Linked DNA regions of Kluyveromyces lactis. The protein of the gene in region 1 purifies or fractionates together with the protein of each later gene. This does not show direct contact. Links are inferred from orthologs where the notes say so. Each region holds a gene or a part of one and is shown in the gene's direction. Other genes may lie near its edges.

The links. Proteins that work in one complex are often made in the same cells at the same time.
Region 2: the proteins of MET30 (region 1) and CDC53 purify together in Schizosaccharomyces pombe (affinity purification with western blotting; 3 studies listed by BioGRID, with this or other methods). This does not show direct contact. The link is inferred for Kluyveromyces lactis from reciprocal best matches to the Schizosaccharomyces pombe genes pof1 and cul1.

What each region holds. Positions count from the first base shown.
Region 1 is NC_006042.1:2,545,286-2,549,311, forward strand, and holds MET30 (ubiquitin-binding SDF ubiquitin ligase complex subunit MET30), read left to right. Parts: upstream 1-1,247; coding exon 1,248-3,119; downstream 3,120-4,026. Other genes in the region: HIS1 (ATP phosphoribosyltransferase), read left to right, coding at 1-126. UniProt on the Schizosaccharomyces pombe protein: Probably recognizes and binds to some phosphorylated proteins and promotes their ubiquitination and degradation. Required for the inactivation of zip1 via ubiquitination.
Region 2 is NC_006042.1:536,379-540,936, forward strand, and holds CDC53 (cullin CDC53), read left to right. Parts: upstream 1-1,542; coding exon 1,543-3,981; downstream 3,982-4,558. Other genes in the region: SRF1 (phospholipase D regulator), read left to right, coding at 1-727. UniProt on the Schizosaccharomyces pombe protein: Core component of multiple cullin-RING-based SCF (SKP1-CUL1-F-box protein) E3 ubiquitin-protein ligase complexes, which mediate the ubiquitination of target proteins.

The sequences.
Region 1 (4,026 bases):
GACAGTGGATGGGTAGCGGTTTCATCCATGATCGAAAGGAAAAACAAAGGTGATATTATGGATGACTTGAAAAAAAACGGTGCAGAAGATATCATGGTATTCGAAATTTCTAACTGTCGTGTCTAAAATGATTAGCACTTTTCCTCACCATAATTATATATATAAAATCTTATGCATGGGCACCTTATTGTATCCTTGTGTATAATGTAAGTTAATATAGATAAATTGATACAGCAAAAATTGTGACAATAGCAATATATTGCATGTTGTAGACAATATTTGAAGTCAGCATAGTAGGTATTTGACTCCTGCCTTTCAGCCCTGCATGATCGAACCAGTGTCCGTTCTTACTGATTGTCTTCGATTCTGTCTCTGTCGTTGTGGCAATTTTGATCACGTGAATGAACGAGAAAAATCCAGATAGCTTACCTCACCAGAGACACCGCTGGAAAGAACCAGAGATGAACACAGAAAAGCGCATAATGACCGAATGCACAGTAGCAGGTTACACTATACATATATAATGACTGATTTTCAAGGGAAAATGTGCCATGTTATATTCTTGGCTTTTAGTCAGATCAAAACATGGAATATCCTTGTAATAAGCCAGATAACCTGTAAAGTGTGGCTTACCTACCCTAGCAGTACAAACATATCTTTTTTTCCCATAAAGATAGTAAGAACGGATTTTAGCTAGTACTGAAATTTAGCGCAGAGAAAAAAAGTAAAAATATCGAAACTTAAACAAAACTCTTGACTGACAAAGGACTTCTTCAAAAGGAAAAACACTGCCAAAGTAAGACTTCTTAATCCTTAAAGGGGCGTCTCACTTCCCGATCTACCAATAGTTTGTTTGATTTATATAAAGCATCATATTTGTTGTATTAAGCGGTTTGGAAATTTTCAGAACAAACGAAAGATCAGCAGCGGAGAGAGCTCAGATAGGGAAGAACAACAAGTTTCGGTAAAGAAAGGTACTAGTGCTCATCATTGGTGGTGTTCTTATAGAATTTTCCTGTGAATCAAGGAAAGGAATTATATCCTTGTGGATAAGAGACATAAACGAAGGGTTTTGCAGTACTGCATCACTTTGATCACTGGTTCTGGTATATTTACAAAAGTTTGAGGAACAGAATAAACATTTTGGAAAGAGAACGCTAGGGAAGTTGTTTTGAGTCAATATACCCCATCATTTTATCTCATCAATATATTCAAATATACCATACGAGTTACGATCGTATTTCAAAATGGAGTTTAACCTTCAACAGACATGCAGACCGGATTTAAAGCGTAAGTTCGAAGATGTAGATTCGAATGGAGTGTCAGATCAACGACAGGATACTGATGGGAAGGGGGAAATTCTACGAAACAAAGCTTCCAAGGTCAATCAAAACAATGAGGAAATACAGCTTCCGAGTGAAATGCCTCAGTTCAATTTCTTTAAATTCTGCTACCGTCATAATCCAGATATTCAACACACTTGTAAGGATTCGATGGTTTTCCAAGATCAGGTACGGTCGGAGAAGTGGATGGAGAAAATGAAAGCTTTGGACAAGGAATCAGACCGAGCAATTATCAAACAAACGCTAGACAATTTCCAGCATAGCAATGATAAGATACGAAGATTAATGCTGGAAGGAATATTACAGCTTTGTTGTTTTCCCCAGCTATCTTATATTGCTGATGAGGTAAAACAATTGATTAAGATCGATTTCATTTCAACCTTACCAGAGGAACTTTCTTTGAAAATTTTAGGTTACCTTGACTGTCAGTCTCTTTGCATCGCCTCGCTAACATGTAAGAGGTGGAAAACACTAGCTGATGACGATAGGGTATGGTACCATATGTGCGAACAGCATATTGATAGAAAATGTCCAAACTGTGGATGGGGTCTACCCTTACTCCATATGAAGAGGGCAAGATACTTACCTGTAAATGAAGCACATGTCCATAATCAAAACGGCAATCAATTCCAAAATGTTGCAAACGGCAACGGGAATGAAATTGGAGGCGGAAAGTCACTAATCAATCCTGGCAACTCTCCCAACCAAACTGTTGCCGCTAGGGCTAGGAATAGCAGGTACTATACGAGACCCTGGAAAGTAATATATAGGGAACGGTTCCAAGTGGAATCCAATTGGAGAAATGGAAGATGTAGAATTCAGCTCTTCAAAGGCCATATGGATGGGGTATTGTCATTAAAGTTCAACCACAGACTGCTTTTCACTGGGTCATACGATTCAACGGTGGCTATATGGGACACAAAATCTGGTAATTTGATTAGAAGACTCACCGGGCACACGGATGGTGTGAAGGGTATTTATTTTGATGATCAGAAAATGATCACAGCTTCTTTAGACAAGACAATCAGAGTATGGAACTACATTACAGGGTCCTGTATATCAACTTATAGAGGCCACCAGGATTCTGTGCTATCGGTGGATTCATACAAAAAAATCATTGTGAGTGCTTCTGCTGATAAAACAGTTAAAGTGTGGCATGTTGAATCTAGGACTTGTTATACGTTGCGGGGCCATACGGAATGGGTCAACTGTGTTAAACTACATCCAAAAAGTTTCACTTGTTACAGTTCCAGTGACGACAAAACATTAAGAATGTGGGATATCCGTACTAATTCGTGTATTAAAGTTTTCAGAGGACATGTTGGTCAAGTGCAAAAAGTTATTCCATTAACGATCAAAGACACAGAAAATTTAGTGGTGGATGAAAAAATTGAAAAAGTACCCAACCCAGAGTTAGAAGAAGATTTTGCAGATGACTGTACAGGAATATTCGATCCGAATTTGAAATACCCTACACATTTGCTTTCATGTTCATTGGATAACACCATCAAACTCTGGGAAGTCAGTTCAGGTAGATGCATTAGAACTCAATTTGGACATGTTGAAGGTGTTTGGGATATCGCTGCTGATAACTTCAGAATTGTCAGTGGCTCTCACGATAAGAGCATCAAAGTTTGGGATCTTCAAAATGGTAAATGCATACAAACTTTTACAGGACACAAGGCTCCTATTGTATGTGTAGGAATTGGTGACAGTTCATTTGTTAGCGGAGACGAGCTGGGCGAAGTGAAAATGTGGCATTTTGATGATATTTGAGAGCCCTGTCGTAGAACCATTGGCATTGTTGCACCGATTACACTATAGCTAATGGTACAGAAGTGAAGGAACAATTGTGTTCAACATCTTCAAAACTAGCATAACTAAATACAAAAGTTTATATTGTAACTTATTTCTAGTCTCAACTGCTGCCTAAATACAGAGGCCACATAATGCCATTCTTTTTCGAACGAATACATTACTCAACGATCAGTTTCTGAAAGTTTTATCGTGCTCGGAACAATGTTTAAAATCAATGTACCTACCTGGCTTCATTAACCCCGAAACCATCAACGTTAAAAAGTCAAATGTCGAGCATGCGAAGTTGTGGAATTCGTCATTTAATTCGACCGTCGTATATGCGCGGAATCTAATTATAAGATCGCACCATAATGATTAAGATGATGAGCCTCGTTGAAACGTAACAGCGCACCGTTTTCTTCTTCGAAAGCCAAACTAACACATCTTCCATTTTTCATTGTCAACATGACCGTCTTTTGGTTTCCAGATTCTCACCAAACAGCTTAGAAAATATCGTAGTAGAGAAATGTGACTGGGAATCCTTGAAAAGAAAAGGAAAGGAAATAATAAGAAAAAAAGGGTTGTCACCATGAGCAGACGTTTTCATGCAAGGTATTAATGTTCCTCTGTTTTTAAGACTTCAATCATACATAAGTCGGGTGAGCCAGTGGTCGAACAGGTTTGTATTGGGTACTTGGTGTTTTATGACCTTCGAGTTAAGAATAAAAATAGTCTTGGTGTTTTCTACTCTGTGAGGTTTTGTTTTAAATTTTGTTGTTTTAACTTTTGATCGAAGATAAACCAGATATATAACGAGCTACCCCAGTTTGCTCGCATTTTCATTGCTTTATCATCCTTAAAGCATTTAGCATTTCATATTGGGCAA
Region 2 (4,558 bases), about 2.0 Mb from region 1:
GCTTAAATACGTTTCCCAACTCAAAGCTTTTTACTACTTGAATAAGGACTCTGCGAAACAATCTTCGGAAACTCATTCAAGTGACGATGGGAGGTTTCATTCTATTTTAAACAAGGGGAGAAATAGTGTGAATAGTAAGAAAAACTCTTGGGCTACCCTTGAACAAAGAAAAAAACAACAATGGTTACCAAGACTACGAAGACTTTTATTGCAAAGTCAATATCTACCTTTGTCGTTGAGATTTCTCATTGTGATACTCTGCATAATCTCTCTTGGCCTAGCAAGTAGAATATACCAGAACTCGGATTCCACTGTCGAATCCTTCGAATCATCAATACCTCAACAACCAAGTACTATCATGGCGCTATGTGTTAATTCCATCGCTATATTATATTTGGTTTATATCGGATATGACGAATTTTCAGGGAAACCGCTAGGAATTAGAGATCCTATGACTAAAGTCAGACTAATTATGCTGGACCTTTTATTCATCATATTTTCAAGTGCTAATTTATCGCTTACCTTCAATACATTATATGATAATCGATGGGTCTGCACATCTACTGGAACGTCACAAGTTGATCCTCCGCACGTAGGATATATATGTGACAAACAAAGGGCGCTCGCGGCGTTCCTTTTCTTGGTCTTGGTCACTTGGGTTGTAACGTTCAGTATTAGCATATTAAGGGTCGTGGAAAGAGTCAGTTCTGGTGCTCCAAGACCCTAAGACTATTCTTGAAACGGGCCCTTCCGACTTAAGACGCCTGTAGATTAATTGTTTTAAATAAATCATTATTCCATGAGAGTACATAATTTGTTTACAAACCCAACAAAAGAAAATCAAAAGTACCAAAGAAAACCTTATAAACATATAAGTTTGGGCCCTGTATTAAACAACATAATTAGACGACTGCAGTATGCTAAAGTATATTTGCCGAAAGCTGTAATCCTTACCCTCTTTTAAGTACTTTAATAATAAGATCAGATTCATATTGAGGAACAATTCAGGATTTTTTGATATTCCAATAATGTGTGGCAAACGAAAACAAAAATATAAGAAATTATAGTAACATAGTATGCAATTATATAAATCAGTATATAACAAGTAAGGCTGTCAAAAAGGGTCAAAATATCGAACAACTCGGAGATACTTCACGATAGAAGCAATATAAAGTTTTCCTGTGTGACCCTTTTTTATAGGATCCCGCCAACAAGTGGTGCATTTCATATTTAGCAGTGAAGGCGCTTTCTATTCTGTTTTATCCTTTCTTTCGATTCATTGAAAAGGGTTGCTCGACTAATTGGGACTCGAACTGTATTTTCTATCGCTGCTGATTTCAGTTTACTACCAAATCTTTATTTACAAGTACCGCTACCTGCGCCCTTGGGAATACTATTATTCTAAAGCGTATATTTAACTGGGTTAGTGGGAAGCAAGTCTCATTAACGCTTCAGAAAAGATAACTTAGGCATCGTTCAATAGAAATATTACTGGTAAAAGAAACTACACGTGCAATCAATAAGAAACAAGTCTAATAAGCTATGGCAGACACATTACCTAGATCAGATGATTTGGAAGCAACATGGAACTTTGTGAAGCCTGGGATCGACCAGATCTTGGATCGTGATGGTACATCGGATATAAAGACAAACAGAGTTCAGAAAGTTCTTTCCCCAAGGATGTACATGGAGGTATACACGGCGATTTATAATTACTGTGTCAACAAGTCACGTTCTACAGGTCATTTCCAATCTGATATTATAGGGAAGCAAATGAATCAATCTTCGATTCTTGTTGGAGGAGAAATCTATGAGAACTTAAAGAATTATTTGAAAGATTACATATCGAATTTAAAGAAAGATGATAATGTAACGTTTTTGAATTTCTACGTGAGACGCTGGGAAAGATTTACAATCGGAGCTATTTTCTTAAATCGGGTCTTCGACTATATGAACCGTTACTGGGTGCAAAAGGAAAGAAGCGATGGTAAAAGACACATTTTCGATGCACATACTTTGTGCTTGATGACGTGGAAAGAAGTTATGTTTGAAACACATAAGACGGAACTCGTTACTGAAATATTCGATCAATTGGATTTGCAGCGGAGGGGTGAATTAGTGAATAAATCTGCTATTACAATAGCAATAAAATCCTTTGTGATATTAGGTATCGATCCATCAGACTTAAAGAAGTTGAATTTGAATGTGTATATTCAAAACTTCGAACAGCCATTCCTACAGAAGACAAAAGAATACTACACGAAGATGTCCAACGAATTCTTAGACTCTCACAGTGTCTCTGAATACATCGAAAAGGCAAATGAATGCATAATCTTCGAAGAAAAGGACATGATTTTATATTTGGATTCCCATACATCGGCACCATTGTCTACAGCTTTGAACCAAGTTTTGATTGCTGATCATGCCGATAAGTTAAAAAAAGAGTTTATTTTACTTTTGGATAAGCAAGATCAAAGATTGATTAAGCTCATATACGAATTGATGAAACGCGATTACCGAATGTTACCAGATTTGGTGGATACTTTTGATATGTACATCAAGAGAGTCGGAAATGAAGAAATCGATAAATTAATTGATGCACATAATAAGAGTGCAGCACAAGATTCAAACGCTAAAAGGCAACCGGGATTATCACCTAGAGATTACTTGAAATGTTTAATAGGAGTTTACAAACTCTTTTACAATATCACCATAGAATGTTTTGAAAATCATCCTGCTTTTGCTAAGGCTTTAGACTATGGATGCCGTTGCTTCATTAACAATAACTCATTCGCTATTCCTCCTGGTTCACCTAAATTTGCGACTTCTAGAGCTCCTGAGATGTTGGCGAAATACAGTGACCAGTTGCTCAAAAAGTCGACCAAGAATAATGAACAGGTAGATTTGACCGTGGATGATATCATGACTGTCTTTAAGTTCTTGGCCGACAAGGATGCATTTGAGATGCATTACCGAAAAAATTTAGCAAAAAGATTAATTCATGGATCATCAAAATCAGAAGCTGATGAAGAAATCATTATCCAAAGACTACAGTCCGAGAACAGTCTTGAATACACCAGCAAGATTACCAAGATGCTACAAGATGTCAAATTATCTAAAAACTTGCATGATGAATTTTCCACGTTCATTTCACAAGATGGGAATAATACTACTAGCGCCGCAACTTTCAGAAGCAAAGTTCCTGAATTAGAACCTCTAATTCTTGCAGACAATGTATGGCCCTTCAGCTATCAACCAACAGAATTCGCATTACCACCAGTTCTTGAACATAGTAAGAACAAATTGGAAACCATGTATACTGACAAGCATTCTGGTAGAATATTGAAATGGCTATGGCCAATGTCTCGTGGTGAAATCAAGGCACATATTGGTAAACCAGGCAAACCACCATTCCAATTCACTGTGACTATTTTCCAAATGGCGATTCTTACCTTGTTTAATGATATATCTACGTTGACCTTTGAACAAATACAAGAGAGAACCAATTTGAAGGCTACACAGATTGCGTCTAATATGTATCCGTTTGTGAAGATGAAACTATTAATACAATCTCCAGAAGGGGTGGAAAGTATGATCAAGTTAGATACAAAGTACACCTTAAACAAACCCTATCGATTATCGAAAACTAGTGTTAATTTTGCAGCCGCTGTGAAAAATGATCTAACCTTTACTGCAACCGTTAATGGATCTGCATTAGATGAAACAGAGGCATCTGAGCAAAAGAAAGCAGAAAAGGAACTAAATCAACAAAGATTGATGTTCTTAAGAGCATGCATAGTGAGAATTATGAAGGCAAAGAGAAAACTACCACACAGTTCATTGATGAACGAGTGTATTGCCGAATCTCAACAGAGATTCAACGCCAAGGTGTCCATGATCAAAAAAGCTGTCGACAATCTAATAGAACAAGAGTATTTGAAAAGGACAGACGACGGTGAATGCTATGAATATCTAGCGTAAACGCTCACTTTTTTATCCACCTTTTACTTCGCCATACATATGTATAAGAAATGTATATGTATCAACATATATTTCGCAACCATTCGACCATTCGACCAAAGGTCAACCTTGGGCCCCATATTTTCAAGCATGAATATTCCCAAGAAAAAAAGAGAGACATCATGAAAGGACCGACGAGTATACTATTCATTACTCAATAGCCAAACCTAAATGCTTGGGTAGCCCTCTCTGCTCTCTTGCTGCTCTCACTACTCTCAGTGACTACCTTAGCATCATTCGGAAGGTGTTTGTCAATACCTGCTGCAAAAATCTACGTTCATCGGATTTAAAATCCACAGGAATATTCACGAAAATTGGTCATGATTAGACTTTAGCTCGAAATTGAGTGGGAATTTTACCATATTTCTTTTCATTGACCATATTTCAATTATGGGAAAGAAAAAATTCAGATTTCAGATGAGTCAAGCCATATCAAGGCAGTTTCGATGACATGAATGAGTCTGAAAAAAAAAAAAGGAACTGCTCTACATTTGATGGCAGGTGTTTCTTTGTCTAGTTTATATGCTCTCAGGTTCGA